3 linked regions of the Lepisosteus oculatus genome follow. The protein of the gene in region 1 purifies or fractionates together with the protein of each later gene. This does not show direct contact. Links are inferred from orthologs where the notes say so. Each region holds a gene or a part of one and is shown in the gene's direction. Other genes may lie near its edges.

What was found.
Region 2: the proteins of bag5 (region 1) and dnajb4 purify together in Homo sapiens (affinity purification with mass spectrometry; 4 studies listed by BioGRID and IntAct, with this or other methods). This does not show direct contact. The link is inferred for Lepisosteus oculatus from reciprocal best matches to the Homo sapiens genes BAG5 and DNAJB4.
Region 3: the proteins of bag5 (region 1) and dnajc7 purify together in Homo sapiens (affinity purification with mass spectrometry; 4 studies listed by BioGRID and IntAct, with this or other methods). This does not show direct contact. The link is inferred for Lepisosteus oculatus from reciprocal best matches to the Homo sapiens genes BAG5 and DNAJC7.

Annotation. Positions count from the first base shown.
Region 1 is NC_090703.1:6,904,059-6,914,625, reverse strand, and holds the start of bag5 (BAG family molecular chaperone regulator 5), read left to right. Parts: upstream 1-6,047; 5' UTR 6,048-6,083; coding exon 6,084-6,290; intron 6,291-6,666; exon of another isoform or gene 6,667-6,700; coding exon 6,701-7,008; intron 7,009-8,241; coding exon 8,242-9,081; intron 9,082-9,556; coding exon 9,557-10,097; 3' UTR 10,098-10,567. Other genes in the region: coa8 (cytochrome c oxidase assembly factor 8), read right to left, coding at 182-272, 468-531, 1,619-1,816, 2,709-2,858. UniProt on the Homo sapiens protein: Co-chaperone for HSP/HSP70 proteins. It functions as a nucleotide-exchange factor promoting the release of ADP from HSP70, thereby activating HSP70-mediated protein refolding.
Region 2 is NC_090704.1:3,703,707-3,713,928, reverse strand, and holds the start of dnajb4 (dnaJ homolog subfamily B member 4), read left to right. Parts: upstream 1-5,064; 5' UTR 5,065-5,323; coding exon 5,324-5,534; intron 5,535-10,222. Other genes in the region: slc25a24l (solute carrier family 25 member 24, like), read right to left, coding at 1-83, 521-658, 906-1,064, 1,654-1,765, 2,224-2,311, 2,757-2,883, 2,986-3,109, 3,234-3,259. UniProt on the Homo sapiens protein: Probable chaperone. Stimulates ATP hydrolysis and the folding of unfolded proteins mediated by HSPA1A/B (in vitro).
Region 3 is NC_090723.1:5,513,311-5,524,290, forward strand, and holds the start of dnajc7 (dnaJ homolog subfamily C member 7), read left to right. Parts: upstream 1-6,510; 5' UTR 6,511-6,547; coding exon 6,548-6,618; intron 6,619-10,980. Other genes in the region: nkiras2 (NF-kappa-B inhibitor-interacting Ras-like protein 2), read right to left, coding at 2,124-2,366, 2,941-3,182, 4,055-4,148. UniProt on the Homo sapiens protein: Acts as a co-chaperone regulating the molecular chaperones HSP70 and HSP90 in folding of steroid receptors, such as the glucocorticoid receptor and the progesterone receptor.

The DNA of each region.
Region 1 (10,567 bases):
GTTTGCTAACTGTCAATCAGCTCCTCCTCCTCACCATGGTAACAAGTGCTGCTTCTGTCACTGCTCACTTCCATAATGGCCACGACCACAAACCACAGACAGGACTATAATTCCAGCTACAGCAACCCAAACCGATTCTCCATCACCAAGCAAACCAACGGACAAACAGAAAGGTAGTTACCTGTTGTAGCTGGAGTGTTTCTGACGGTTCTTGTCCAGGAAGTCTTTGTAGAAGACTGCCATCTCATCGGCGCTCAGAATTCTTCTCCTGCCTGGCCAACAAAGACAACGGAACAAAAGCACGACCTGTGCTTAGAGGACTGAGTATAAACCCAATTCTACTCACACCATGATTCATCCTCAATACATTAGCATAATAGCACACCATCAGAGGAAAACAGAACATGTTGAGCAGATTATATAACCAGGCAAAGAGAGAGAGAATTGGAGGGGTAGCCTCCACTCACCATCTTCGTCCCTCAGTCCCAGCCCCTTTGCCTTCAGAGTCGACAAGACAAACTGTTCTTTCTCCTGAACAAAGCACAAGAAACTCCTTAGCAACGACCGCCTAACCAAATAATGATATAAGTAGTTGTGACACATAAAAAGCAATTTTTCAATGCATTAAGACAAGGGGATACAATGATGATAACACAAAATGTTTCGTAACAAAAACAAAAGGGGATTGTTCCTCTCATGAAGTCAGAGGTCACACACCTTATCCTCACAAAGAATTGCTAAGATTTATAGTTCTCTTTCAACTCTACACATCTATCCACCCAGTATCTGCAAATGTTTTTTTTTTCCTTAGTGTCATCAGAGTCCTAAGTCTTGTTTACCTAAATTTACACCCAGGAGGGTTGATAACTGTGCAACCAGTGGCTAAAGTCTGACTATAAGTTTAAAGACAAAATTAACCAATAAACACACCAGCTTTCCCATGTCAACAGCAACACTGAAGGGGAAAAACAGCTGAGTTAGCTTTGCTTGACTTACTTGAAGCAACAGCAATTCATTTTAATATGAATATTAATTTCTAGAATTGTAAATGCAATCTGCGCTTGTTTGGACAGCACAGCACTTGATCAAACTCAAAACAACCATCAGTTTGTATTCAGTTCTGCTAAGTAGCCTCACACATGCCATTATCTGTCACATCAAAAACTTATCTGGGACACTGCAGACCAGGCTGATCTGTGGTCTGAGGATGTGAAGCATGCGATGTTCGAATAATGTTTAAATCCAAATTGAACTGAGAAACATGGGGGTGACTGCTGTTGCCTCGTGAGTCTTGGTCCCTGGGTTTGATCCCCAGTATCTGCTGCGGGGAGTTTACTATGGTTTCATAACACCTACCTAACTCACGGCTGGTTGGTTAACTGGCGTCACTAAAATGCACATGTGTAGACAGCCCAAAACAATCAAAGAGGGCTTTCTGGTAATTTTTGGTTGAACATCACAAAGCTAGGCTGCCCTGCCACCTACTGGACAAACATTGTTTTACACACTAAAAAACAAGGGGCCATTCGATCAGGAGGGAAAAGACTTTCGCTCTCCACACCCAAAGTAAGAGTCACGACACGAAAACAGGCCAGGAAAGACCAGTGCTACCACAGACCCTGCTGAAAGACAAATTCTGATTGGCCCAGAACTGCTGGTTCCAGTCCTCCGTTTCCTGCCTCAGGCGCCTCAGCCTGGCTTCCGTGGGGCTTTCCTTCTCAGGGATGTGGAACCTGATTGGCCGGAGGTTAGACAATCCATCCGGAGGACCAATCCAGTCACATCTGCTGCTGGTGGGAGGGGTGAAACCTGACCTCTGTGGAGACAAATACAGGTAAGGTAGTTATGAGAGAGAATCAGAGAGGGCCAAACTACACAAGGCCCATCAGTCTGCAAATTTCAGAAGCCCGACACAGTGGACTGACAAATTGCCCTTTTAACCTCTCATTAAAATTGGTCTAAATATAGCAGACATCACAGGAGAGAGAAAATGTGGTTTTCTTTCACGCCAATCCAATACCTAAAGCGGACTTCTGGCATGTACTGTTTCTTATCCTGTATTCTATTTTAAGGTCATTGCATAAAAGCATGATTCACAACTGCATGAAACCTCTCTTCCTGACTGCTCTGGTGGATATTCAAGAGATTCAAGGCAGGGAATCACACCTTGCACTGCCAAAGCATCCTGCAGCCACATACAATCTCAGGAGAGAAACATTTAAATGTTAGGAGAGTGTGCAGTACAGGGAGGAGAATCCACTTCAGGAGACTCTTATAAACAAGGTGCAGCTCCGTGCTGAAACGAGTTATTATTAAACGCATTTTCAGTTAAAAGTTCACAAGCTAAAAACACTACTTTTTTTAATCTTTCGGAATACCCAGTGGCTTGGAAATGTGTCTGGTCGGATGAGTAGAGAACAATTAAAATCTGCAGACATTGCTTGCTGTATAGGGAAGATGCATCTCAGGAGACTCTTGAAATAAACAATGTGTCTGTAAGAGATGTTAATCACACTGCAATACTGTAATAAAGAGGTTTTTAACTTCAGGGTGACTAAAACTACAGTACTTCTGCAGAGCGATATATCTTAAACACTGATGCATTCAATGTGCTCACAACCATTTATTAATTTCCAAGATATGAAAAAGCGATGTTATGTCGTAAAATAAAAATATATACAGCGTATACTGGACTTCACCATTCCCACCTCGCCTGGCCTCTTCTCCTGTTTAACGGGCTCTCTTTCACTGCTGTATCTCAGTCGTCCCGACAAAACACCTGCTGCATACCGGGAATACGTCAGTTTACCGTGATGGAGCGATCGCCACGTCCGAATTCCTGACAATTTTATACTCATCTCTGCCTTATTCCTTCAAACCTCTTCTCCACTCGCTGACCTCTTCCAGAAGCAACTTAACCCACGAACTTGAGCCCCACGTGACTACCCCGTGAACTTAAGAGGCTGGACAACAAAATCCTTACGCGGAAATCCAGCGCCCCCTTGCACTTGTAACCATCCACAATCACGAGTTTCGTTTTATCGTGCAAATTCAAGAGTTTTGGTGGAGTTTACACTATATATTGCATTATCAGTAGTGGGTTGATTTTTTTTTATGAATTCAAAACAACTTGTATAGCACAAAGCAAATATGTCGAAAACAATGACGCGAGTTGTTGTTTAAAACGACAAGATTAAAAGTGGAAGGTGTGTAAATGGGGTTAGAGAGGGGTACGTTTTCAATTCTTTTCGAGGTGATTTGCGGAGAGTAATTGTCTCTTTCAAAGATATTTACTGCGGCGACAGCGAGGGTGATACTGTCTCACATCAGGGTCCATGGAACTTCGGGATTTCTACACTTGGACCGTTCCGTGTGCGGACCTCTGTCGTGACGTCACTCGGCCGGCCCGACTCTTCTCCCGGCAGTGGAGCCGTGCGATGAGGATTGTTGTGCGTTTCTCTCTCCTCCCCTACCGATCTGATGGCTGTCCGCTGGTTATGCAGGTAAGACGCACACCGCTACCCTTGACCCCTTTCTTTGGTACGGAATACCTCAAGCGTAAATTGCTGGAATTGCCTTTTTTGTTTTTACTCATGGGTGAGGTTGTTACCGCCGCTGTCAGTCAGTTCTTTCTCAGCCTTTCTCGAAATTCTTACTGTTGACAAAGGATTTGAAAGGACCTGCTGTTATCAGTAAAAAAAAGATGTAGCAGTGTCAGTTAAGGATGATTTCGGATTTTGTAAAGCGATCAAGGGTGCCCATCGGAGACGTTTTCCAACAGGTCTAGTGCTGACAGTGTGATACACGTTTCGCTTCAGCGAGGTGTTGCTATTTGAATTTGAGCCGAGCTCTGCTACAGAAAACGTAAGGGCAGTGCCATTGTTTTTAGGCAGTGAGAATGCACCGTACGGTAGATATGCAATACCGTGGCTACTTACCCGTCCGGGACAGATTCACAGCTGTCATCCGCTTATCGTTAAGAAAAAAAAATGGTTCAGGTTGTGCGGAGCAGGGCGCCTCTTACAAACTGCACAGGTTGAAGCCATCCTTTCGCTATAGGGCCAGAGATTTGATTTCGTGCCGCTCGGTGCACCTGTCGCCCAGAGAGGTGATGGTGCTGTAGGAGATGAGCTTGGTGGCACTAAGATTTTCACCTGCATGACGGCCTCGATAGCCCCCTCCGAGGCCTCTGGTGTTGGAGAGAGCGTTAATTGTGCTTTGGCAGCGCTGTGAATTTATCGGCCATGCCCTTGAGTTTGAATTTGAGAGCACATGCGTTAGGGTTTCAGTCGGTTGTCAATCAGTATGTCACAACAACCATTTTGACGTAACCTTTACAGATGACACTACGATAAAAAAAAGCGAACTACTGGCGTTATCAAAGTAAGAAAGAGATGCGCTACAAAACAGAAAACTAAGGGTGTCTTAATGTTTGTGCGCGGTAACAGGGTAGCCCTTAACCAATCAATGACGAGCCGAGGTAATAACGAGAAAATTCGTTTATATATGAAGACTTTAATGAAGTATTCCTCAGAGCGCATTAGCAATAACTCATTAAGTGCCACCAAATGTAATTACCTTTGTGTTTTCTGTCTGGGCAGCATGCACGTTTCCGCGGAGGAAAATGGAAGTTAAAGCTTTAGGAAGCTACATCGTTTCTTAAGCAGTGCTCACAGATGATCTCGCTGTGCCTTTTTAAAAAAAAACTCGATCGTCTTCAGAACGAGTCCTGAACTGGTGGACAGCAGTTTAGATCTTGTTGTCTGTCTGATAAAAAATGTCAGAGCTTCACTAGCGAGAAGAGGAATGAAGATCATCTTTAACGAGTTTAAAATTGAAAACGTTTACATGACGTCCTCTTTTTCAGTCCTGTTGTAACCTTTTACAAGCAGCCTCATCTATCTCAGTGTTTTCCATTTTGTTTTTGTTTTGTTTTTTGCTGCCTGCACGCAGAATCCTGCACTTGTCTTGTGTGAACAAGCTGCAGTTGGGCAATATTGTGCCTGAAGCAGTATTGATAGACTTCAGAGGAAGTTGCGGATTACGATTGCGGAGGTTGAGGTGAAGACCTTACAGTGTCTCTGTGAATGAAGGTGCAGTAGTTCTACGACTTTCTTACTGACTGTGAAACTCCGGATGGGTGGTAGCAGAAGTGGTGTTCATGTGGCCATACTCCATGGGATTTGTGCGTTCAGTGATCTGAACATCGTTTCTAACCTACTGTTACGCGGACACATCCGTGGACACAGTACGGTAGTGTGACTGCTGGTTATTCGGGGCTCTTGGGTTTGATTCCAGTATGGGCTCCCCTCCAGGTCCAGTCTGCACATTCCCTCTCCATGTCCACATTGGGTTTTCATCAATACCCATTTCCTCCCACCTTCCGAAGACAGGCTGATGAGGTCACGAGGTGTCTGCAAGCCCTGCCTCCATGTGGGTCTACCTGGTGATGGCCTAGACTGGGGTTTAAGCTATAGTCCCATATTGCACCCTGGGCTCCCAGGACAAATCCCGGGTTGCATCAGCCACGTTTTCTGGTAATGGACGGATAGATAGATAAATCCATCCCCTGTGTCCTCTTCTCAGCTGCGGGGAGGTGAACGTTTGACCATTAAATGCCAACCAAGCATCATCCTCCATGTCTTCAGAGTTCACTAGGGGTCGGAGGTAAGCGGGATTCAGCGCCATCGATTCGTGAGCGAGCAGGCCGTCGCTGGGACTGAATTAGGGACGCGTGTGTACCGCAGGAATGGCGAATATTTCTAGCGGGCATTATTCTATCGCTCCCCCTGAATTCTTGATTGAAGTGCCAGTTTTAATTGAGGTTGTGATGGCATCGAGCGTATATTTAAAAAGCCTTGGTGCTACTTTGTGGGTTCTCTCTATCCATGCATGCTCCTATTCCTCCTGTCAGGTTTGCACTCGTGGAATATTACTGGGAGGCATCCGAGTGGAAATGTAACTGTTCCTGGTTGTCTTTCCACGCTATCTGAGGTGTGCGGGGCAGGTTGCAGCGATAAAGGTTGGCGAGACAGCCGTTTGAATTACTTTGTGATTCTGAGCGTCTCCATCACCTGCTGTTCATGCATCCCATCAGGACGCCAGGTGCGATATCACAGTGCTGGCACATGACCCGCACGAGGAGAGTAAGAGAATTCCCTCTCTCTGCCACTGACAGGTTTTTGGTGCTAGGAGTCAGATGCTGTTCACGCGTGTCAGCTCTGTTGTACAAAGTGACATGCAGTATGGTGATTGTGGAGGGGGAGAAACTGTGGATTCCTGCAGGAGAGGTGTGGAATAAGTATTTTTGGGTTGATGTCTTTTAGGTAATATTATATTTATTTACAATTTTTTAATGTTTGTTTGTACTATCCATCCGTATTGTAAGTTTCTGTGTGTGCAAAACATAGCTGCTTGGATGCAAAAAAAAATAGTGAGACATGAGGCGATCAATTATTCCTGTCTCACATGAACAGATAGGCAAAACCAAGATTCTTTACATTTTAAACATGACCACAATGCCAGTTCCTTGCTCTCTTGTTAAACAAGCGTCCTTTCAAAGGAATGTTTATAAATACATTAAATACATTGCCAAACAGGACACGTGATCCTTGTGGGTGGGGTCACATGCTCACACACAGACACCCACACGGTGTGAACTGTGAATGGGGCAGGTGACGGGGACGCTGTCTCCTTTAAGACGGCAGAAAACGAGGAACAAATCTTTTATGACATCAAAGACTCGCATCATCGGCAGACTGGCAGCTGCAGTGGAGCCTGCCAGGAAAGTGCTCTTCAGTCCCCAGAACCCTCGCAGTGTCAACACGGCCACATAACCTGCTTATCTGGGAATGGGCATGCCTGTGGTCACGGAGCAGCGGAATGCTCTGGAGCGTCTGGAGGACTATTCCGAGCCTTAGTGTTTCCCACTGGGAGCTGGGAGATCTCTAGCACAAGATTTCTAACGCAAATTAGCCTGCTTCATCTGCCAGCATATCCACCACGTTTGTAAGTAATTCCGTTTTTAGGTTTCTTTTTATAAGATTCCCGGATGGCGGGGGCGACGGGACTGCCTTTGATGTTCCCAGGCAGCGAAGTATCTGGGGTTGGGAAAGTAAAAAAAAAAAAGCTAAGCTGAACAGAATACCATTTTTTTCTTCGAAATGGGGGAAAGAAACAACAGCGAGGCAAGTGGGTTCCAGGGTGTGAACATGTTCCTCGTCGAATGCAGGAGATCGGATTGCTAAACAAAGAGTGGGCTGGTTTGTAATCTGCGTTCAGGGGTTCGGCGAGGAGCATTCCTTTGGCTGGGATGGTGAAAGTGTTTGGTGGGGCTGTTTTAATCCTATTTCGATGTTAGGTGTGGCGGCTTCTCTTGGGGGAGGGATTGTGTACTGAGCCATAAATCCCAGCCAGAGAGTTATTTGCGCAAAAGCTGTGATGTAATCCCCGTATCCACAGAGGTACAAAGGTGTGTATCGCTCTGGCTGTATGTTATCTCTAATGGGAACTAAACAGACATGTCTTCTCAAGGTTAGAGCGCTTTCCCTTTGTTCAAAACAGGATGGTTTTGTTTTTAATCAATCGCCGTATTTCCTACCAAACAAAATCTTTAGATGATATTTCGATATCGCTCTTCCCCGTGAGGCAGTATGATGGTTTACTCACCTAGACAGATGTTGCCCACCCTTGTGAAAAACAGGGTGATGCAGGCCTCTGAAGTAGTAGGTTGCTTGTAATCTGTTAAAAAATAGATAAATGCTCAAATTAACGTACTCCCGGGAAGTTAGTTGCCCCCTCTTTAGCCTCTCTGTCTTTACTGCATCATCCCACCCATCAGCTATTTTCTATAGCCCTGGAGGGCAGTGGTGGGCAGACACGGGGGCCAGGCAGGGCAGGAAACACCCTGGAACACACACACACACACACACGCACACACACGCACACACACGCACACACGCACACACGCACACACGCACGTACAGGGGCGATTTAGAGATGCCAGTTCACCTGGACTGTGGGGTCTTTGGACTGTTGGGGGGGGGAGAACTGAATACTCCACACGGAAGATGCCTCCGTCTGGAATCTGACCCAGGAGCTGGGAGGCAACTGCGCTCTCTGCCGCAGAGTTTTTTTTTTTTTTTTTTAAGCCCCTCCAGCTTCTGCACGGGGCTCCCGTTGTAGTTTGCCGCGAACGCTGTTGTGGTGACCCCCCCTGCCCCCCCCTCCCCTTCTCCGCAGCCTGTTTGGAAAGCCCTTTGATGGTGGGAAGCGCATGGAGACGGGCGGCCAGCATCCTGGCCTGCAGCGGCTGCAGGAGGTCCAGCGGGAGGTGCAGGGCCTGGGCAAGCAGGTGGGCTCCTTCAGCGGCCTGCAGAGCGACCGCGAGTACCGGCGGCTGGAGCGCGAGCTGACCCGCCAGCTGCTGGAGGTGGACGCGGTGGACACGGAGGGCAAGGCCGAGGTCCAGCAGGCCCGGAAGCGGGCGGCCCAGGAGGTGGAGGGGCTGCTCCGGCTCCTGGAGGAGAACTCGGCCCACCCCTCCCGCCTGGCCATCGAGGGGCTGAGCCAGGAGGCCCAGCGGCTGGTGGAGGCCGGGGTGCTGGAGCCCCAGAGGGCGGGCGCCGGGGAGATCAGCGACGAGCTGGTGGAGAGCCTGCAGGACCTGGTCCTGCGGCTGACCCAGGTGAAGACGGGCGGGAGGGTGCCCCTGCGCAAGGCCCGGTACCGGGCGCTGACCCGCGTGTGCGCCGTGCAGGACGTGATCGAGGGGCGCACCCGCCGGCAGACCCTGCCCCTGCCGCTGTCCGAGGACACCCACGCGGCCGTGCAGAGGATCAACATGGTGATGGCCAGGGTGAGCCAGGCGCGCAGCGAGCTCATCGCCCTGCTGATGGGCCTGGGCGACGGGGACAGCTGCGCGCACCTCGCCCGCGTGCTCACCGAGCTCCTGGTGGAGCTGGACGCCCTGGACGTGTCGGGGAACGCCGCCGTGAGGAACTACCGCAAGCAGGTGGTGGAGGAGATCCACGGGCTCCTGAAGCACCTGGACCTGGAGGGAGAAGGGGACGACACGTGCAGGTATGAGCCAAAACGACACAAAAGCCAGATCAGTGCAGAGATCCAGATCTCCTTCTGAATTCACTTTCTCATTTCAGACCTGTGCATGAAGGAAATACCTTCAGAATTGCAATACCGGGAACTGTTTTCTTATCCATGCTTGCAAGAATAATTCTCTACTAGCCAAGTTCCTCTTTTCTGCACTTGTGTGCGATAATAGTATTAATGATAATGATGAACAGAGAAGAAAGAAAACACAACGTTTCGTATTGCAGCTGAAGAAGGCTCCGAAACGTTGTGTTTTCTTTTTTTCAGCATGGAATAAACCCATTACTTGTTTCTTTGCAGCCTACGCATGCTGACACAATGGTAATGATAAGAATAAAAATTGATGATAATGACGATAGCAAGAATCTAATCTTTTTACCCCAAGCAAACAGTTAAGCGTTGAATTTAAGCTCTCCGGTTGGCTCTCCCGCTGCTGGCGCTCTTGCAGGTACGACCTGGCCCAGAACGACTCGATCCAGCAGATCGAGGTGCTGCGCGGCCGCGTGGCTCAGCTGCGCCGGCAGCTGATCAGCCAGGACAGCCCCGGGGAGCTCGGCTTCAAACCCAAGGCGGAGCTGCAGGGGTTCCTGACGCAACTGGACGAGGTCAGCACGGCGCGCAACCCCTGCATCCGCGAGGCGCGCCGCCGCGCTGTGCTGGAGGTGCAGGCCGTCATCACCTACATCGACCTGCGGGAGGCGCTGGTGAGGCGGCTGCCCACCGCCGAGGAGCACCCCTCGCAACGCGCCGTGTGGCAGGTGCTGGCCAGCCTCTCCGAGCTGCAGGGGCAGGTGCTCAGCTTCGACGGCAAGCGAGCCGACAAGAGCTACATGGTGCTGGAGGAGATGCTGACCAAGCAGCTGCTGGCCCTGGACGCGGTGGACCCGCAGGGGGACGAGATGTCGAAGGTCGCCCGCAAGCAGGCCGTGAAGTTCGCCCAGAACATCCTCGGCTACCTGGACATGAAGACGGACGAATGGGAGTACTGACCGCGGCCACTTGCGGTGGTCTGTCTCTCTCGTTTGGTTCGCAGTCCTCTCTCCCCTCATCTTCATATCGCAAAGAGATGGATCAGGCTGCAGGAGGACATGACGGAACTAACTGGTTTGTGGCTGGGGATGGTAACATGATGATGACGTCTTTGTTGCTGTTACAAGATTCAGGGGAAACATCTGGCTCTGGAAAGAGGCTGTTTTTTTTTTTATTCCAACTTTATTTCGACAGACATGAATACAAGCAAATTGTTCCTCAGCGTTAAGAGTTCCATAAATCTCCAGTCCGTTCCGAAAGACTGCGTTTTTTAATTGTGGCGTTAGTGTGGTGCTCTAACCCATGAACAGAAGTGTGACGTGGAGCTTCTAAGCGTTTCTCTTTCTGTCTGTCTGTTTGGTCAAAAAAAAAAAGTCGTCGTGAGATATACAATTGTGATCTGGTGTAAAACTGTTAGAAAAAACACAAA
Region 2 (10,222 bases), on another chromosome or scaffold:
GCAGCTGCCCCAGAGATGCAGCCAAGCCCAAATCTCTGCTGCACAGTCAGCTCACCTTCTGAAACTTCCCCAAGAATCTTCACCTGCCAAGACACCCATTAAAAGACATTGTGCAGCTTAACCCTCTGTTTTCTAGAGTTAACAATGCAGAATTGCACCGCAGTAGACAAGAGTATTTTTACACAGAACAAATGAAACCATCATCGATGTCTTGCTCATACTGTCAGTGTTCTGTAACAGAAGGAGATGTCCGGAGTGCACATACAGACCCCATGCAGAAGGTAGCCCTGGCCAGGACCTAAGACCTGTGAGGCAGCAGCTCCAACCAGTGCACACAAGGCAAGAATAACTGCTGCATTCAGGAGAAAGTACTGTACTGCCCTACTCTAATGATCAGCACCATGATAAAGCATTCATATTTAAATGCAAACTTTCTTAAAATCATTCCCAAGTCTGTTACGATGCAGTGCTGTGACATTTTGTCTTGTGCAATACAGTGTACAGTAAATGCAATACGTACCCGGTTGTATATCAAACACTGGAGAGTTGACTGGGGGGTGCCTTTCATCACATTCACTGCATTCCCCTGCCACATCGACTTGATACCGCCTGCTCGTATCTCCCTGAGCCCATGTGATACTGCCCCAGAACCATACACCTAAACAAAGGCAAAGTGACCAGCTGGTGATCTGCTCCTTCACATTTCAAACGGTCCTGAAAAAGCTATTGATAAACAACACTTCTCATGCAAACAATCTCCCAGATGGGCTAAAGAGGAGTCCAAAGGCACTGGCCTGTCAACTAATTCAGTACACCCCACGCAACAAGAAAAACACACGGTGCGTCACTGCAGCTCAATGCAGCGCATCTGTGTGCGTGCACTGAAAGGCATCGCACTCAATTACCTGAAGCTGAATTTTTATTCGATCGATTGGCGCAGTGACGGTCCTGGACACCGCGTCTGCTATTCCTCCAGCTAAAATGTACTTCTTCCAGGCTCCAGAGTCTGTCTCCTCCCGTGTGAAGTCCATGGGCAGAGGCCGGCTTTCTCCCACGTCGAACACCTGTTGACACGGCACGAGATTTTACATACGTCAGCCATCGCAGTCCATCTCTATCCTGGAGACTCGGGATCTCTGGCCTGTGGGAGGGGAACAACTGTGGCAGCAGGAGGCACAAAGGGACAGCAGGGTGGGACATGACACAAGAAGACTACTGGACTGCATTCAGAATGCTTATGAAGTTATTTTTGCCTGTGGAGACAAATTGATGAGGAAAAATGGACGAGGTGAACCAATCACATTTGGTGAAGATACAGTGTATACTGAACTAAAAACACATTCCAGTGACAGTACACATGAGATACTAACAAGAGCAGCAGTCCCACAGAGGATGGGTCCTAGGATATAGAGTTCTCTGCATGTCTGTTGTCATACCTCTGGTGAATACCTTCTTTGTTCATGGCAGGATAGAAGCTCGTCCATGGCTGTGTTTGTATGTACTGTATGCCAAACTGAATTGCTCCACAGTGCAGTTTTCACAGTCCACTTGCATATACACTATATACTGTATGTACAGTATAATTAGGCAAAGTAAGACTACACTGACTTCCTTTGCGATTAGGAACAAGGTGCTTCACAATGTAGCCCTTACCATGCTGCGCTTCCAAGAAGAAACAAGCTCTGCAATGTCCTCAGCGGGGTTTAAAATGATGTGCTGCAGAAATTCATTCCAGTCCACTGTCATGGAGTTGTCACAGTCCATCCTATGAGAAACCATGAGAAACCATGAAGGAAATCTCCTCAAGTGTTGCTACTACATGACTACAGGTTGTTGTTTATTAAAAGCGTTTATTCTGTGGCACTATGCACATAAAATATATTGTTTTATTCTGCTATGGCAACTACTGTAACTGTACGTTTAAACTTTATTTATTATATAAACTATATTATATGTCATTAAGGTGTTCGGTTATGTGCTGTAATTGCTGTATTATGTTTACATTTCCATAGACATTGATTATGGCATTACAATAGCATTACAATATTACATAAGCTTTATGAAACATATTTTTCCCCAGGTTTTATGTGCATACAGGAGAATTTTTGTAACACAAAAGACGCCTTTAGCACCAAACATGTGTTCTATGCTTCGTAACTGATGGATCAAAGGCAATAAATCTTTTATAGCAGTCAAATATTAAAAAGTGGCAACAGATCTTACATTTGTATTATTTTCTTTGCATGTTGCTTTGAAATGACCACTCCTAACTCCTTAAACAAATCTATGATATCTTCCTGGTCAATGACCCCTAGTCACAGAGAAGAAATGAATATGAATACAAAACAGTTGAGCAAAAATCTCAAGACAGAAATCTTCCTTTTGCTGTTTGCCCTTGGAACGAACTGTGTCCTTTGGAAAGGGTCTTTTTTTTTTCTAGGACGAAGGGGTAATAAATACCAGATCCCACTGCAGCAGGAAATAACACAACTGTATTGACGGATGGCGAGATACATGATGATTGATATTTAATTAAGTAGCTTGCTGGGATATGCCCTGGCTCTCCAGGAACCCAGAATTGGATGAAGTGGTTAGAAAATGGACAGATGGACGTTTAAAGAGATCTGGACTGCAGTTGTGCCCCTCTGGTTTTGACTAAAGCACCAACAATTTTAACTCCAACCCCCCGCCGGCAAATTACACTTTCTTCACTTTTGCACAACCTGTACAGAATCGTTCAAACGTCACCAACTCACCGCAGTTGTTTTTGTCAAGGACTTGAAAGTTTATTTTCCATTTCTTCTCCCTGTCCATCATGTAGGTCAGGAACTCCTCGTAATCTAAACGCCCGTCGTTATTCAGGTCATAGTCGCCTAGGATAGCCTGGAATGGCACAATTTAAAAAGCGCAGACACGACATGGGATTAACCTTCACACCTGGCAGGAAAATACCGTGTGTCAAGGTCGGCATTCAGCAATTCATACCTGAGCCTTCTCCTCTGCGGCCGAAACTCCGATTTTCTTCATTTCTTTGCGGAGCTCATCTACGGCGATGAAACCATCGCTATTGGCATCTAGTCGAAGGAACAGGCTGCGGAACTGCTGCGTGCTTCGCAAAGGAAATAACAGTTATCATTAGAGATATGTCTCATCATAACACTCGAGATGCTGAGTAGCAAAAGGCGTGCAAATTAAAAATTAAAATTATTGTTCATCGCGCAGGTGTAGCGTACCCTTTGGGTGACGGATGCTGAGTCATCTTCGGAGAGGCTGAATAGCAATTTTTCGTCTTCAGTGCCGCAGCCAGGTCCAGCTCAGTCAACGCGATCCCTGTGAATACCGAGTGCTCTTGCCCCGATCGGACGGCAGGGGGCACTGTGTGGAGAACTGGGGAAGGTCCCGGGCAGCCTGCTGGTGAGTCTCCCAGGTGAGGGCCGGCTACGGAAGCCTGTTAGCGCCATGGAGGAAACAAATGTTTATTGCGTTCAAACGAGACAACATTGCGTTTAGTAGTAGGTCGCAATTGCAAAACATAATATGTTTTTTTTTTAGAACAGCAGAGCTTATGGATGTGAAGAAACGTTGACCTAGTTTAAAACCCTCTTCTTCAGAAAAGCCTTTACTGAACTGGTTCCATTCTTCACCCCTCTGCTTTTCCTAGTACCACCATCCACGGTCTCCTCTCTATATTGTAACTGTGTTGTATCTTGTGTATTCTTCTTATTTATTGTTGTTGTCATCCTGTAAAGCGCTTTGAGAAGCCACCTTAAAAGGCGCTTTATAAAATAAAGTTTACTATTATTATTATTGTTATTATTATTATTATTATTATTAAGATAAAGTTAGGATATGATGTTAGGACGCAACACATAAAATCTATATATCACTCACCCACAAATGTAGAATTTGCGTTTTTTTTTTAAATGTTGGGATGCATGTACCGTAGTAACTGTAAAACTTCATCCATGATTGTTTTTTTAATGAAGTGAAAAATAAAACAAAACTCGCTGTTTCCCGAATGAAACCACACATCCAGGGCCGATGTCAGTGGAGGAGATGAAATGGTCAATCGTGCTGGCCGTGCTGCTGAGTGATGATGTTGAGCCTAGGTTGCTGCTCACGAGAGGAACAGTTACCAGGAATTAAAATACAGATGTCAAGATGGGATCATGACTACCTTTGACACCGTCAGAGAAGCTTAGAGTGCACATTTTCACAGCGTTGAAGAATCTGTTGTGGGCTTGAGTTACCTGTTAGGGGTGCTGTCATTTTAACATATGGATGGGAAAGGTGAGCCCACCAGATACAGGGTTTACACATCCACCTCATGACTGAGTAGGCACTCTTGAGTAACCTAAAGAATGCGTTAAATGATTTTTCCTTTCAGCAGCTCATTGGCGGATTACACAAAGGGTAGATTGATCTTTTGAGATCGGGGACACCTAAGACTGTACCTGTGCAAATATCTTACTTATATCCTCTGTGACTGGACTGTGCTACTGTAGAAAGGCTCCACCTTTAAATCACCTATAGCTAAAGATCCGTGTCATTGGGATCACCTGGGCATATGATGTGTTAAATTATGTCATCGGGGACCATAATCTGAGTGCCTTTCTCTTAATTGAACAGATCCGTTGTTTATTTCATCAAAAACCTCACATGAGTCTCCGGTGTTTCCAGACGTATGGCGGTCCACCGCTCAGACCCTGGAGCTTTTAAGCATGTCGGAGGCTGGACTGGGACTGGGACCAGTACGTTTTGGACTGCAGGGGGAGACCCACACAAACGAGGGGAGATCCTACAAACCCCCATGTTCACTGAGGGCCTTTGTCAACGTTTCTTTCGGCGTTTCGAGTTCAGGTAAACCCGTCAATCAAAACGATGAAATAATCTAACCTTTGCCTAAAGGAGAGAAAAAAAAAACTTCGGATAGCCTACATCAATTTATTTTTTCTCCCTGCGAACGACTTTTCTAAAAAAGTAAGCTTTATATGGGAAATGACGTGCAATGATCAGCACTTACTACTTTCTAGAAAGAGCCACTGGGTTCCGGCGAGTACCAATAGGGGAGAGAGACGCGGCTATTTAAAGGAGCACGCCGAGAGAGAGAGAGAGACGCACCAGCAAACACAAGGGCATAAGTATCGAAGCAATAAGCTGTACAGACACAAACAGGGCTTGGAGGAGAGTGAATATCCCCGATTTCAAGAGCGGCAGCACCCGGCTAGCATCTGCTGTCCACCACCGCTCTCTGCCTGCCAGCGGCTGCTATAAAGCGGGTTTATATCCTTAGGATATCGCGGGCTCCCGGGCTGCGCGGAAAATGGGGAAGGACTACTACAAGATCTTGGGGATCCAGAGGGGGGCATCGGACGAGGACGTCAAGAAGGCGTACCGCAAACAAGCCCTGAAATGGCACCCCGATAAAAACACGGCCGCGAACGCGGAGGAGAAATTCAAGGAAATCGCGGAGGCGTACGAGGTCCTTAGCGACCCCAAGAAGAGAGAGATCTACGACCAGTTTGGCGAAGAAGGTGAGGTTATATATATATAAATATCTCGTATGTGGAGATGTTGCCAACGCAACTCCCTCCCCGTTTCGGTGTGGTTTGTTGTTACCGGATCGTTTTAATTGCATTTCAGGATTAGAAATACTTTCGGAGTTTTTTTGGGGGGGTTTTGTTTCTCCTTTTACATCCAAGCCTGTCCGTTTCCCTTGATTTGAGCCGCACAAGATAAAACGCCGCAGAGCGGAAACATTGATTAAACCGCACTTCGCCAACAGCAGGAGGAAAACCGGCTTTTTTTTCAATTTAATGTGGTTTTGCCGTTTTTCAAGGGGGGAGGCACAACACGGCAATAAAATATCCTGTCAGGAGAACGTCGTAGAATGATCCCGAAGGATCAGAGCGTGTATCCCACCCTGTTTAGCAACAGTAAAAGGACACAACTGGCCGGGGTCCCTGGAATGGGACCCACAGGCTGTTTATTTCGGGGGTGTTATGTTGGAGCTTGCTGGCTGGTGCTGCTGCTGGTGGCCGAGCGGAAAGCTGTAGCGGTTTGCGTAGCTGGATCATACATCTCGCCGCCGCTCTCTCGGATCTGGGGGAAACGCGTCTCGTCTTCTCTGGGAAAGAGGGTAGTTTCCCCCCCTTGTACTGGCGAAGACCATCAATCAGAATAAAGTCCGAGATAGGAGGACAGTAGCTCCCAGATCTCCATCGTCACCCCCCAAAGACTGTTCCCCGCGTACTGGTGTTCCTCTTGTGTCCAGTAATATACAGTATACCCGACTTGCCTTCTTATCGTAGAAGTACTTGAGCGTCTTTACCTCCCAGGGTCAGAAGTGTGTTCTGGGAGTAAAGTAAGTCTTCAGCCACTCCCGGCAGGTGATGAAAGAATTGGTGGCTCACTGCAGCGAGGTTTAATGTTTCTTTATTTTAATGTTTCTTTTGTAGCGTATTGCAGGTTCTTTCTCAGAACTAAAGAACAGTGGAGACGCGATTAACCAAGCACTGGCTTTATTTTACAACCACACCAAAACCAAACACAGGATCTACACAAACATGAGGAGTCTGACGAACACGTACACACATTTAGGGTGGTAATTACCTAACAACACACTCTACTTTTACAGGACTACACAGGGCACTAGAATTACTAGGACATTATTTACACAGGCAGGGTCAGCCGCTGGTCATCGTGCTGACCCTCAGACTCTTCCCGGCTACCACTCCCAGCATGCCCAGCGGTACTACGAGCGCCTAGGGGCGCTTCCTCCTCACCACCAGGCGAGGGCGTTACACTGCCCCCACCTGAAGCGTCTGGCGTCTCGCCGACGTCGAACACCCCCCTCAGGCTGTACTCGTATTCGGCCAACTGCTGCGGAACCCTGCGTGAGCGGCCGCTGCGCCGCGGTGACGGCTGGCGATCCACGGACGCCCCACTATCGGCCGGCTCCGGCCCCGGCTGCTCCTCTGGAGCCTCCCCACACGGCTCCTCCTCCCGGGCCCGGTAGGGGGCCAGGCGGTCTCGGTGCAGGACCACCACTCTCCCCCGTGTTCGCAACCGGACACGGTAGCAGACCTCGCCCACCACCCCGAGTACCTCAGCGGGCCCCTCCCACGACGGCGCCAGCTTAGGACTGAGGCCTTTGCGGCGCCGCGGGTTGTACACCCAAACCGAGTCCCCGGGCTGGAAGGCAGGCCCCCTGCAGCGCAGGTCGTAGTACCGCTTCTGCCGGACCCCCGCCTGTGTCAGGTGGGTCCGTGCAAAGCTGTGCACCCGCTGCATCCGCTGCCGCAGGTCCCACTCGTAGTCCGGTCCAGCCGGCGGTGCCGACCCGTCTCCGGGCGGCAGGCCGAAGACCAGGTCCACCGGTGTTCGCATTTCCCGGCCCAGCATGAGCGAGGCCGGGGTGCACCCGGTGGATTCCTGGACCGCGGTCCGATACGCCCAGAGCGCAAGGGGGAGGTGGCGGTCCCAGTCCCGTTGGTGCCGGGACACCAGGGTGGCCAGCTGGGTGGCGAGCGTCCGATTAAACCGCTCTACCAACCCGTCGCTCTGGGGATGCAGCGGGGTGGTCCGCGTCTTAGTAATCCCCAGGCGCTGGCACACTCTGGCGAAGACCTGGGACTCGAAGTTACGCCCCTGGTCACTGTGTAACTCCTCCGGCACCCCCAGCCTGGCAAACATCCCCTCCAGCAGTGCATCGGCCACCGTGGGGGCACTCTGGTCCGGGAGGGCGTAGGCCTCCGGCCACTTCGTAAAGTAATCCATAGCCACCAAGACGTAGCGGTTCCCGGCCTCGGTGCGCGGAAACGGGCCCAAAACGTCCACTCCCACCCGCTCCATAGGAGCCCCCACCTGGTGTTGTTGGAGGGGGGCCCGAGAGCGCTCGGGGGGACCCTTCTGCGCCACGCACACCGCACACGTTCGGCAGTACCGATCCACGTCCCGGTGGCAAAGACCCCAATAAAAATGGCCTCGGAGACGCTGCAGGGTTTTTTTACCGCCGAAGTGCCCCACACCCGGTTGGCCGTGCACCGCTCGGAGCACCGCCCCGCGGAGCGACCGAGGCACCACCAGCTGCCACCGTACCTCGCCACTGGAGGGTACCCGCCACCCCCGGCGCAGCACCCCGTCCTTTACCTCCAAGGCCTCCCACAGGGCGCAGAGGGCCTTGACGGACTTCGGGTGCGGGGCGAGCTCCTCTCGTGTAGGCCGCACTCCTGCTGCCCTCCAGCGGAGCACCGGGCCCACGTCAGGATCAGCTGCCTGACGCTGCGCCAGGTCTGGCAGGCCCACCCCCAGCGGCCCCTCCCGGGCCGTGGCCGCGGCGCTCACCCCCGCCACGGTGCGGACAGCCTCCTCACGCTGCTCCCGCCGGGCGCAGTGATGGCAGTCCGCGGCCTCGCAGGGGCGCCGCGAGAGAGCGTCGGCATTGAGATGGCGAGACCCCGCACGGTGCACGACAGTGAAGTCGTACTCCTGCAGGATCTCTATCCATCGCGCCATCTGTCCCTCTGGCTCCTTAAAGTGGAGCAGCCAGGTGAGGGACGCATGGTCGGTCCTCAGCCGGAACCGGGTCCCGAACAGGTACGGCCTGAAGTGGTGGACCGCCGCCATCACCGCCAGCAGCTCGCGACGGGTCACGCAGTAGTTCCGCTCAGGCCTAGTCAGAGCCCGGCTATAGTAAGCCACTACGCGCTCCCCATCCGGCCCCTCCTGCGCCAACACCGCCCCCACCCCCGAGTCACTCGCGTCGGTGTCGAGAATATACGGCAACCGCGGGTCGGGGTAGGCCAGCACGGGGGCCCCCACCAGAGCTTCGCGCAACCGGCCAAAGGCAGTCTCACAGCCCGAGTCCCAGTCAAAACGGCGGCCCTTGTCGGTGAGGCGGTGCAGCGGGGCGGCGATGCTGGCAAAGTCCCGGACGAACCTCCGATAGTACGAGGCCAACCCCAGAAAGCTGCGGAGCTCCGCGACGGTGCGTGGAGTCGGCCAGCCCCTCACTGCGGCGACCTTACCTGGGTCCGTAGCCACCCCTCGCGGTCCAACAACATGTCCCAGGAAGGTCACCTCCCGCCGCAGGAGCTCGCACTTGCGGGGGTTGAGCCTCAGGCCAGCACGGCGGATGCAGGCCAGCACCGCCTGGAGGTTCGTCAAGGCCTGGTCAAAACTCCGTGCATGAACCAGCAGATCGTCCAGATATAACACGCACTGGTTCCGCGGGACCGATGCCAGCACCCTCTCCATCAGCCTCTCGAACGTCGCCGGGGCATTGCACAGGCCAAAAGGCATGACAGTAAACTGCCAGAGGCCCTGGCCGATGGAAAAGGCCGTCTTCGGGCGAGCATCGGGAGCAAGCGGTACCTGCCAGTAGCCGCAGCGGAGGTCCAGGGAGCTGAACCAGGTCGACCCGGTGATGTAGTCCAGGGCGTCATCTATCCTCGGCAGGGGGTAGGAATCTTTCCGGGTGACCTCATTCAGCTTGCGGTAGTTGACGCAGAACCTCCACGAGCCGTCTTTTTTTTTAACCAGTACGGCTGGCGCCGACCACGGGCTCGCGGAGGGCTCAATCACCCCCGCTGCGGCCATCTCCCGGATCTTTTCCTCGGCGGCGGTCCGCTTGGCGTGGACCATGCGTCCTGGTGGGATGCGGATGGGCCGAGCGTCGCCGGTGTTGATCTCGTGTTGGACCAGGGCAGTGCGGGTGCAGTCCTCATCCCTCGCCGCAAAGAGGTCTTCGTTCTGGGCGAGTAGCTGCTGGAGCCGCTGCCGCTGGTCCTGATCGAGGCCCTCGCAGCTCCGCTGGAAGAGGTCCTCAACGGCACGCTTCGCTTCCACGCAACGCTCGGCCCCCGCCGCCGCCTTGTCTGGCCCCCCGGCCGACTCAGGGGCAGGATCCGGCACGCTCGCTCCCCGGCTCGCAGGCCTGGTCTGCCCCGGCGACTGACGCCGCCGCCGCCGCCGCTGCCTCTTGTTCCCCCGGCTCCGGCAAGCCCGCGTCCCTCGGCCCTCGCCGGACCTGCCCTCCACCAGGTGCAGTCGCTCCCCCTGCCACACCAACTCCTGCCGGTCCAAGTCCAACCTGGCCCCCACTCGCTGCAGTAGGTCCAGCCCCAGAATGCAGTCCTCCTGGATGGGTGCAAGGTAGCAGGGGTGGCGCACCGTCGCTGCACCCAGACGGAAGGCAAGCACCCGTTTCCCCCGGACTGCA
Region 3 (10,980 bases), on another chromosome or scaffold:
GCAGAAGTGAGTTTCCTGCTTCTAAAACAATGTTATCCAGTAATTTAATGAGGATAATTATTTTTGTAAAGCTACAGCAGGCATCAGCAGCTATGGCTTTGTGGACAGTGCTGTCATCTGGTTCTCTACCAGCCAGGCACCGAATAACTTTATTGGACCCATCGGTTGTTTAACTAGTAAGAGTTAGCAGGCTTTCCAGATCTCTGCTCATTGACCTCTCAGGACTGCCTACAGTACCTGCAGGAATGGGGTCGTAATCCCTTCAGCTACACCTATGATGGCTATATCAAACTGGCTGTTTGTCAAGTCTACCTCTTCTAAGTTTACTGATGTATACTGAACTGCCGTTCATAAAAAATAAGTGATAGTGGTATTAAAGCCAAGACTCTCCAGTGAGTGAGCAATCTTGTCCAGTAGACCAGTAGAGGGCACTGCTCAAGTATAGGTGGACCTCTATGATCCAGGTGTCTCAGATTTAAGCCCAGGTCATGTCACCAACTGACTGTGAACAGGATTCCCCAAGCACATCTAAGTGCATGTCAGTAGCCAAGCTCTACCAAGGGATAATGTGATTAGTCGGCTTTCTTGACCCCCTCTCAGAGGACCCTCCTGCAGGATTCCCTGTGTGCGTTTGCTAAGTTTGCAGCTGAGAGCCGAGAAACCCACAACTGGCTCTTCTTAAACAGGCGCATACAACAAAAAGCACTGGAAAAAAATAATTTAATTTGTACTTCTCATATGTGGGATCTAAATAACATTTCACTGATTTATTGTAACTGTCATGCAGCAGTTAAATTGCAGTTGTATGTGGTATGATTAATCTTTGTGAATGGAAATGCGTGAGTCTGTGGTATATTTTCCCAGAAAAGAAAAACACAAACATCGATCAAGCTCTCTCCCTCTCTCTTTGAAAAGTAGTACGCTGGGTGAATACCTGATTGCCTTTTTTAGTAAAGTGAGCCCAGGGGACAAGTCATATTCCCAGCACTACAAGAGGGTTCAGCACATTCAGTCCAGAGAGAGCAACAGTTGCAGCTGACAGAAACAGTTTTCTTAGACAAAAAAAAGAAAATATACAAAATTAGAAAGTGGTTTTAAATAATCTATTAAAGAAAAAGAGTGTTTATCTAAAGACATAAAAGATGTAAAATGAGAAAACGGTGGAAAACGTTTTTAATGGGATAAAGAATTTCAGGAATTCCTATGTAATTCCTACATTGCTATTGAGCCATCACTCCCTTCTCTGCTTTTAAATAAAAAATACCCCAACAGAAGATTAAACAGAAGATGAGATGCAGAATCACACGTCACACTTATAAAAAAAAATAAATCTACACTTCAAAATCTGCTTAACAAACCTGTGTAACAATTTCCTATTTATTGTTTTGACATAAATGGACATTTTACAACACTTGGGTCCGTTAATGTATAATTTAAAATGCTTCTTAACAGCAATGAGCTGAACAGGAAAGAAGCAACACTGAAAAAGCCCCAAGCGCCAATGGCTATGGAAAAAGTGGTTTGAAATCTGGAATGGTGCCTGGCGTATGAAGCCTAACCACAAACTACTGTTGCCTGATGGACACAAAGGGATCAGGCACTTTGGGAAACAAGCAGAGTGGTTAGAGAAAGCTTAAAACAAGCAACTTAATTGTTAGCAATAAGGGAAACAAATAACTCACTCTTTCTAGTCAGTTTTAAATTATTCAGTCCTTAATCTGCAAAGGGAAATGCTTTTTAGTTTCCTTTCAGATAAAGAAAATAAATGGTTGTGTGGATTTCTAAATAACACAGGTAATACAGGATTTGCCAGAATCCTGTCAAGTGTTGCTTTGGAGCCCTTGCTGTTCCGACACCACAGTGGGATAAACACTTTTGCACACCACCCCATTCACAATTCACAAACTAAGAGATTAATTCACCAAGAAAATAAACAGGAGGGAATTGGGTAAAACACAAAATTTAGTTTTGTTTTGCCAATTGCTTGTACTCAGTTTAGCATTTCCAATGTCCTGTGTCCTGGAAATTACCTTCCTTATCTTGTGTTGTGGTTCTAGAGTTCTGACCCGCTCGCCCCGGCCTCTCCCGAAAGCTCTCAGTCCGGTCCTGCTGGGTCCATGCACTCAGCTGTCCAGGGAGCCACTGCCCTTGTTCTTGTTGCGACTCAGCGGGAAAGTGGACTTGCTCTGCGGCTGGGTCATCTTGCTGGCCAGGTAGACGAAGGGCTCGATCAAGGTGCGCCGGTCCGCCACCGACACCTCCCAGAGCCGCACCTTCTCAGCCTTGGCCCACTGCTGCGCGGCCTCGCTGTCCACTCTCCTCTGGTCCTGCAGGTCGCACTTGTTCCCCAGCACCACAATAGTCACCTGTGGAGAAGCACCATGATAAGGACTGTGGGAGTGGAACCTGTACACTGCTGTGCCTCTCAACAACACACCACTGACCGACGCTACACCCCAGCAGAGCGCACAGAGCCCCGAACATCTCCCTTCATTTCATGTGGCTCAATCAGAACTTCTTACAAGCAGAAAGAGTAAGCAGAATATGTATTATTCAATAATCCTGCTATTGTTATTTATTTATTTATTTTCTCATTTACTCCTGTTCTGAACGTAAGAAATTTCTCAGTTAAGAGGAGGCCTAAATCGTTGACTGACCCAAGGATCTTATCCAGCTGTGACTTGAAGAAAGCCAGAGTACTGTCTTCACCAACAAGGCAGAGGTTTGTGTTCCAGAAACTCAAACCCTTGGCCTGTAAGTGTTTCCTATTAAAAACCTTAAATAAACCTTTGTTTCTGCTGTGTTCTCTGCTTTGTGGTTTTTTTTTTCCTGTTTATCTTGAAGACATACAACTGAAAGCATGAGCATACCAACTGGCTCCCTATGCAAGGGCAAAGCTACTGCATCCATCACATACAAAGGGACAGGTGAGGGTCATACCTCCTTCTTGTCCCTGTGCCTGTCAATGTCCTTCTTGAGGGCCTCCACGCGTCGGAAGGACTCCTTGCTGTCGATGCTGTACACCAGCACAAAGCCATCGGCAAAGGTGTAGTAGTGGCGAGGAAACTCCATGCCCTCCCTCAGCCCGCGGGTGTCGTAGAAGCGCACCTGCTCCCGGACCCCGCGGTCCGTCTCAATGGACCCGATGTAAATATCTTCAAGAGTCTCCATGGGCTCGGAGCCTGCACGGACAGACAGAGTGGTTCTTTCATTGCCGTCGCAATTATTATTATGGTTTTTAGCTACACCCAGCCAGTCTGAAACCTACAGCTGTTTCCGTGTATCGCCACTCACTGCAAAGATTCCTCTACTGTGCACAGGGAGGGATGAGGAAAGGCGGACGAGCTGACCACTCTACAAGAGCCACCATGCCTGACGGCAGGGCTGGTCTGGAGGGGAGGAGAGGCATCTCTCTGTGACATCACAAAGAGTCACAAGAGCTACCCCTGGCATTGCTCTGCCAGTTATGTGACTCCAGTGGTGAGATTTTGGTTACAGTCAGTTGATGATATGATCATTACAGTTACAGGTAATCGCAATGAAAATGAAAACAAAAATCACATTGAAATGTCTTTTCTTTGAACAGGGCACAGAAATATATAGAAAATATGTTTTTGAGGTTCAAGAAAATAATTATTTGGGAATTGCAACAATAGAATGAGTCATTACAGTGAACCTGAAGTTTGATAATAAAGAATATAAGAATATAAAAATGTTTACTAATCATAGGAGACCACTTGGCTCATCTAGCTGCATTACTACTAGGCACAAGGATCTCTTCCGTTTTCCAGAAAGGATCCAGAGGATTAGCTTAAACAAAACTACTGCGAGTCTTAATACTCTCACAACGCATCGTGTAAAAATTGTCTCCTGTTCTTGGTTTTAAATGCTCTTCCCCGGAGTTTTCACCTGTGTCCTCCGGTTTGAGCTCTCGATTTTGAACAAGCCCACTGCGCTGACTTTGTTAATTCCCTGGGGGGTTTTGAAAACTTGATTCAAGGTCCCGAGACAGAATTTGTGAAAATCCCCGACAGACCAGGTCGCGGTTACTTACCGACGACATGGTTGGCGTACAGCACATGTTCCAGCACAGCGGTTTTACCGACGCTGGCCAGTCCGCACACCACGACCTTACAGCTCTTTCCCATAGTCCGCTGGCGTCTACACGATATCAACAAAACAAGAAAAAAAATTTCAACAAAGCCCCATCCTCTCCTTTTTTTCGGATCGGTATGACTTGCTCGTTCTAGATTAGCCATCTGCATTAGCGGTAAACATTGATCTTTTTGTCTCTATTTAAGACCTTTTACACGCGGTTATTGTAAATGTCAAATACACGAGCACTGCGCTAGCTTTCAGCACCGTCTTCAGCATGTCTCCCAGCCTCGATCTACGTAGAAACGGTCACATTTCTTTTCGTTTTCAAGACGATACTGCTATAACGAGACGGGCCCAACCTGTTGAATTTTGAAAAGCTGCCGCCAGTCTCGGAAAAGAGATGTAACACTGCCGGCTTCCACCACAATCTTACATTACACCAGGAACACGGTGCACCACTGTGTAAAGCGGAGTGGCTGTACTTTATTCTCCATTCCTAAACCAGGAATAAGTGGCTTTCTGACAGCGAATGCACGGAACAGCTATCGTCCATTTAATAAGAGCAACTAGACGAGGAGCTACAATACAGAACTGCACACTGCGTTATTTCAGATGGATGTATTTCAGGCGCCGTTGAAAAATACAGTTTTGCAGGCAAGCAGTTCTCTTTATTACATCTTCCTGACTTTTACAACATAAAAGTAAGAGTCAAAACGCTCCCCAGCAAATTTCTCTTGATATTCCCAGAGATTAAATAGTACTGCATAAACCAGTGCAATTAAGTTTAAAAGAGGTTGCATTTATTACATCTTAACTGAAACATCATTTCAGGGTAAAATTTCATCATTTCACAAAAAGTGATGTAAAATAACCACGGCCAAGCTATAAAACACCGCGACGGGGAAAAAAGCGCGCTTACACTCGTTTAAAAACACATTTTAAAAAGGAACAAAAATGCAAAACTATATTAAAATAATTGAAAATACTGTACTGTTAAAGTGCAGAGGCAGACAACCGCGGCGATTTCCTGTTTACAATTTGCGTAGGCACTAACCCAACCCACAGGCTGCGAATCGATGGGCTGGTTACAGGAGCAACCTGGGATCGTAACCAAGAGCGACCCCTGTCGACCGGAGGGCGTTACGATTTCTAGCGGAATTTGTGATTGTGCGCAGGTTATAACAAATCCAATCATTTTTATATATAAGCTTCAATAATAATAATAATAATAATAATAATAACCAGCAGCCGTGTCACCCAGCAACTCACAACTGGCAGCCCACTGAAGCTCAGCAGGTGTGAGCCTGGTCAGTACCTGGATGGGAGACTCCTGGGAAAAACTAAGGCTGCTGCTGGAAGAGGTGTTAGTGGGGCCAGCAGGGGGCGCTCACCCTGAGGTCTGTGTGGGTCCTAAAGCCCCAGTATAGTGATGGGGACACTATACTGAAAAAAGCTGCCATCCATCAGATGAGATGTCAAATCAAGGTCCTGACTTTCTGTGGTCATTAAAAATCCCAGGGCGTTTCTCGAAAAGAGTAGGGGTGTAACCCCAGCGTACTGGCCAAACTTCTCATTGGCCCTTACCAGTCATAGCCTCCTAATAATCCCCATCTCTGAACTGGCTTCATCGCTCTGCTCTCCTCCCCACTGAGAGCTGGTGTGTGGGGAGCGTTCTGGCGCACTATGGCTGCCGTCGCATCATCCAGGTGGGGCTGCACACTGGTGGGGGTGGAGGCGATCCCCATTACCTGTAAAGCGCTTTGAGTGGAGTGTCCAGAAAAGTGCTATATAAGTGTAATTATTATTATTATTATTATTATTATTATTATTATTATTATTACTACACAACAGGTACAAGGCAGGGTCACCCTGGACGGGACACAAGTCCATCACAAGAGACACACAGATACTCGCTCACACCAGGGCCAATTTCCCCAGAAGCCAACAAGTCTGCCAGTACTTCTGTGGCCTGTGGGGGGAAACTGGAGCACCCAGAGGAAACCTACACGAACAGGGGAGAACATACAAACTCCACAGGAACTGAACCCAGGCACCAATGCTAACCACTGTTCTTAAGCGTCGCCTGGAAACCGTTCCTACCCTACGGAATTTCACATTTTATTTTCGTCATGGTTTTCATAGAGTTTTAGTCATGTTTGCCCTGATCTGGTGTCGGTTGGTGACGGCTGTTATGCTGTATTGTTGTGTTGGACTCCGAACACAGCTCCACCGGCGGATAATCAAGTCTGAATCTGAAGGGATGTTGGAGCCTGGCGCCGCCACTGGAGGCGCTGTTTGCGCCTTTTCACGTCGGCGTGTAGCGGCCGTGCGGGCTCGACTCTCTCCCTCCCAAAAAGGAGAGGAAATGGGTCTTTGCCGCAGGCCGCTCTAGCGCTCGGTGATTTCTACGGTTCCCGGAAGTGTCTGTCTTCTCTTCCCCGGCAGTAACATGGACGCTGTTGACTGCGATGTGATCATGGATCCAGAGCCGCAAATAATGAACGAAGAGGAGCTGGCGAGGTACAACGTGGATATTTATTTCAGTCGGTAGTCGCTAGCGCCGTGACGCTCTTGGGGATAGACCGTACATTAACAGATAAGGCTCGTATGTGGTTCTTGAGCCAAGTTTTGCCGGACTGCTTGAGGCCTACACCCTAGGACGCGGGCATGGGGATCCGTCCCGGTGTCTCTTCAGCGAGACCCGGTCAGCCGCCGGGGTTGGAAATCTGCTTTCAGCGGCCGTCTTTTACACAAGAATAAAAACAACGGCGTTGTCTACGCAGTCCGAGATGTAAACAATTATTTGAATAAAACAACAAAGGAAACCCGACATTTCCGCGAAGGTGTTTTGAGTGGCGTTACATAGTCGTCTTGATAAAACGAATCATTTGTTATTAAATAAATCGGATAGTTTTAGGTCAGGTTGTTGTATACGTCTTTGGCAAGTATTGGATTTTCCAGTGCTAGCCGGTCTCGTTTCGTTATAAAAAGGGGGAAATGGGTCACTTTGTGTAATTCGTTCTGTCGTCTCCCACAATATCTGAGTGAAATTACCTGGAGGTGTTGAAGGCCTCAAATACGTTTCTTTAGACGTGTAGCTGGAAATACACATGAAATAAACTCCTCTGGCAAGCGCGGCTGTCTTGACAGTTAATAAGAGCGACAGCACAGAGCGACCGAGTGAGACAACAGTGTTGTTTGTGCGCCCTGCTTGTAGTTGTGCTGTCGTTTGTGTATCAGCGGTGCCTCTTCCTTCTGCGGAGAAGTAATTCACTTTGTTTGAACCCGGAAAGTCGGGTCCCCGAGTAGAATGATCTCTTCCATGTGCTGTCTTCATTTTAGGTAACACGGTAGCAACTGGAATCGCGATATTCCAGTTTGTAGATTGGCATGTTTTTATTGGTGGCATCCGTCGAGTATTTGTTGTAGAGGAGTCATTGAAAGGAATTTCCGGCAACGGGACTTGGGATCTGCAGACTCTTCCTTTATAAACTCCCATACAGTCAATACATTATGACTTTTTTCTAGTTCGGGAACTGTATCAATGGGACACCGCCGTCCTGTCCCAGTAGCTGCACGCCGTGGTTGTCCGGCTGGTCAGCGCAGCGGGCGAGGGACAGCTCCGGGAATGATGAGATGGGGGTGGGGAGTCTGTAGAGGTCGGCTCTCACCAGCCTAAAATCGAAAGCCTGACAGCTGAAACAAAACCGAAACCGATTTTAAGTGGACCTTATTTCCGCTGGCTCCAGGCGGACGTCAGATTGACTGCAGCACACGAATCAACCCGGGAATACAGCGTCACTCCAAAAAAGCACGGAACACCGATCCTGCGCTTAAATCGTTTAAGTAGTTTTTACATTGCGGGTACGAAAAGCAAACCCAGGATCCTCACTGTGGGTGGCGAAGGTGCGCTTCAGAGTCCTTGCCCAATCATACTACCCAGCACTGAGTGAATCGAAGTACCTGAAGAAACGCACTCTGCTCTTTCCCTGTGATATGCTATATTATGGCAGGAAGATGTATTAAGTCACTATGTGTTTCTGTGCATTATTCCTCTTATATGGTATAGATACATGCCTTGGCAATGACTGGCACCGTCCCACTCTGACAGAACGTAATAGATTCTTCTGTCTCGTTTTGTTGTTGTGCTCATACTTGTATTTAGTGTGACATAGGCATAGGAATTGTGCCAACAGGAAAAGCCTGATGGAAAAACATCAATTACAGTTCAAGACGGGAATCCGATCATATCTTCTTTACTCAGTAATCGCTGTGGAACAGAATCAATCAGTAGTGGAATTTAGTGTCTCACTTGTGGCCTTCGGAAACCATAGATCTGGCTCAGGGTCATCCTTTGTTTTTAGGGCTTCCAGGGTTTGTTTCTTTTGTTTGGTGAGGTCTTGCTGCTGTACTGAAAAATGGACAAGCTGGAGGAAGACTTGGGGTAGAGAAGGAGGTGTCAGTTCCAGACTCCATGATGCAAAGAGATCTTCTCAGTGAAGAGATGCTGTGACAAAAGCGACAGATTCGTTATCAGATCAGGGATGTTAGTGTTTCATATATTGCCTCTCCATTTGGAGAAACGTTTCAGAAAGCTTTGCAGTGACATAGTGGTGTCACAAATGGGGCATTTTTTGTTCCAGGCTTCAAGCCAGTGTGAGCCACTGTAGTGTGTGATTTATACAGTGTTTCTCTATTGTAACTGTCATAGAATGCCACTGTTTGCCTTTATTTTTTTTTAAAAGGCAGTGGTTTGGAATTTGGTGTAGTGCTTGAGCACTTGAGTGTTGGTACAACGAGCCTGTATCTTTTGACTCTTCATGCAGAATTATCTATTCATTTCGATTCATATCTATATTCATTACTGTGTAAAGTTAACCAGCCATCCGACACTTCACATGGTGTAAATATAGCTGCACAGCATGGCTTAAGAGGAGCACTTCAATATGGACCTCTAGCACCATTGCACTACAAATAGCTCCTGTAAATTGTGATATGCGGTTCAGTATCTATGCTTGAAAATTATGCTCTCACTTGCATTTCACAGTACTGTCCTTAGAAATCTTATATAATTTGACCTTGGCCTGTCTGAGCTGCATAATACTTGCCCAGGTTTGCTTTGATGTTGCGCAGGGCAGTTTAGAGATAAATAGTTCTGGATCGCTTTAGAGCGAGGTCTCGGTTCTTTCTGTAATGATGCTGCGCCTCTAGATGATGAAGGAGAGTGCGTTTAATTTTCAGCAGTAATCTCAGAGCTTCCTCAGGCTAGCTCGTGACACAGTACAGTGCCAATACAGTGCATGTTTGTTCCAGAGAGGTGACCTATATTTCAATTGATACAGTGCACCAAGGGACTGGTGGCCTGGAAGAAGGAAAAAAAACAGTTATGGATGGAGGGTAGAGTGACTATTGATAGTTTTTGTCTCTGCGGCCTCATCATAACACCTCTTGTAACCGGTGGGGTTAATTCACCAGCCCCTAGAAGCTTCCCCATGACTGATAACACCAGCTGGCCACTCCCCTGACTGGTCCTGCTCTTTCTATGTATAGACCCAGAGAGGGGGGGTAATGCACTGCTCTCCTGCTCTACTGTAATGAGTTTTGTGCCAGGCATGTTTTGGAGTTGATTTGCACATGGGGGAGATTTAAAAGGTGTAGAGCCCTGTAACTGTCAAATTAAATCATGCCAACAGCCAGTTTGTTTTCTTGTCTCCCCAAAATGTGGTGATTTGAAAAAATTAAAAATGAGTAGAGACAAAAAAACTATTTAACCTACAGCCTGTACTGCTCAAACAGGCAGAGTTGGTGCTGTGAGCTTCCTGTGATTTCTAAGGCTACTCCAAAGGCTGAACCAGTCCAGCTTCTCTAATAGGACAACTTAAGTGGCTGGGAAATATGATCGGTAAAATATACTGCTTCCTATTAACGTTGCAGCTCTTTCCTTCTTAGTTTTATTTTAAAATGATCTTGGTGAATAAGGACAGCTGATTTTCAGTGAACTAGTTCTGGTCTGACTGTTTTATGCTTTAGTTTTACAGGTGCATTCAGGAAACATTAAAAAATGATTAGCCTTATAAGCCATTACACTTGGTTGTTTAAAACATTTCTGCATTCGCCTTACACAAGCAAAGATAACCTCATTGTACTCTTAGGCATGCCTTTTATGAGACAGTGAGTCAAAGTAGATTGAGCTGAGATCATGGGTCAGTTGGAGGGACTTAAAATGGTGCCATCCAGTGATAGGGTTAGCTGTAATGCAGCGATAACTGTCCTTTTCCAAGTGTTGCCCAGTTCAGTAATCAGCACTGCCCTTGTGAGCTGGGAAGTGAATGGTTAAGCTTAGAGAAGACGCTGCAATCCTTGATAACTGTGGACACCTGCTTGCTTGGGTGTCCATTAATTTAGCACTTAAAGGTCAGCAGTGGTGCAGATGAATACCGAACTTTACAATCAAAGGAGAACCTCCCATTTTCAACTTGTGGCTTGAGAACAGGGGTCTTTAATTGACTCTATCCTGCACGTTTTGATTGGATTTCAGGTTTAATTTTTTTTTAATATTGTATTAACATCTTAACATCTGCTCTCAACACAAAAAAAAACAACAGCAAAATGCTTGGTGTTCACATTAACACCACTGTGCCGATGTGGTGTCTGGGACAAACTAGCTAAGCCACATTCATTAAGGAAGCTTCTTAGGATTTTTCAACAATAAAAGAATGAGACAGGCATGTCTGTATCCTTTCTTTCTGCCTCTTGATTTGTAAAACCTTTATGAGCTCTGGGCTCGGGGGAACCTTGGCCTTTTCCTAGTGCTAATAGAAGGACATCAGCGCTGTTTCCTTACTTTCCACAGGCCTGTAGGTTGCCTCTTTGAAGCACAAC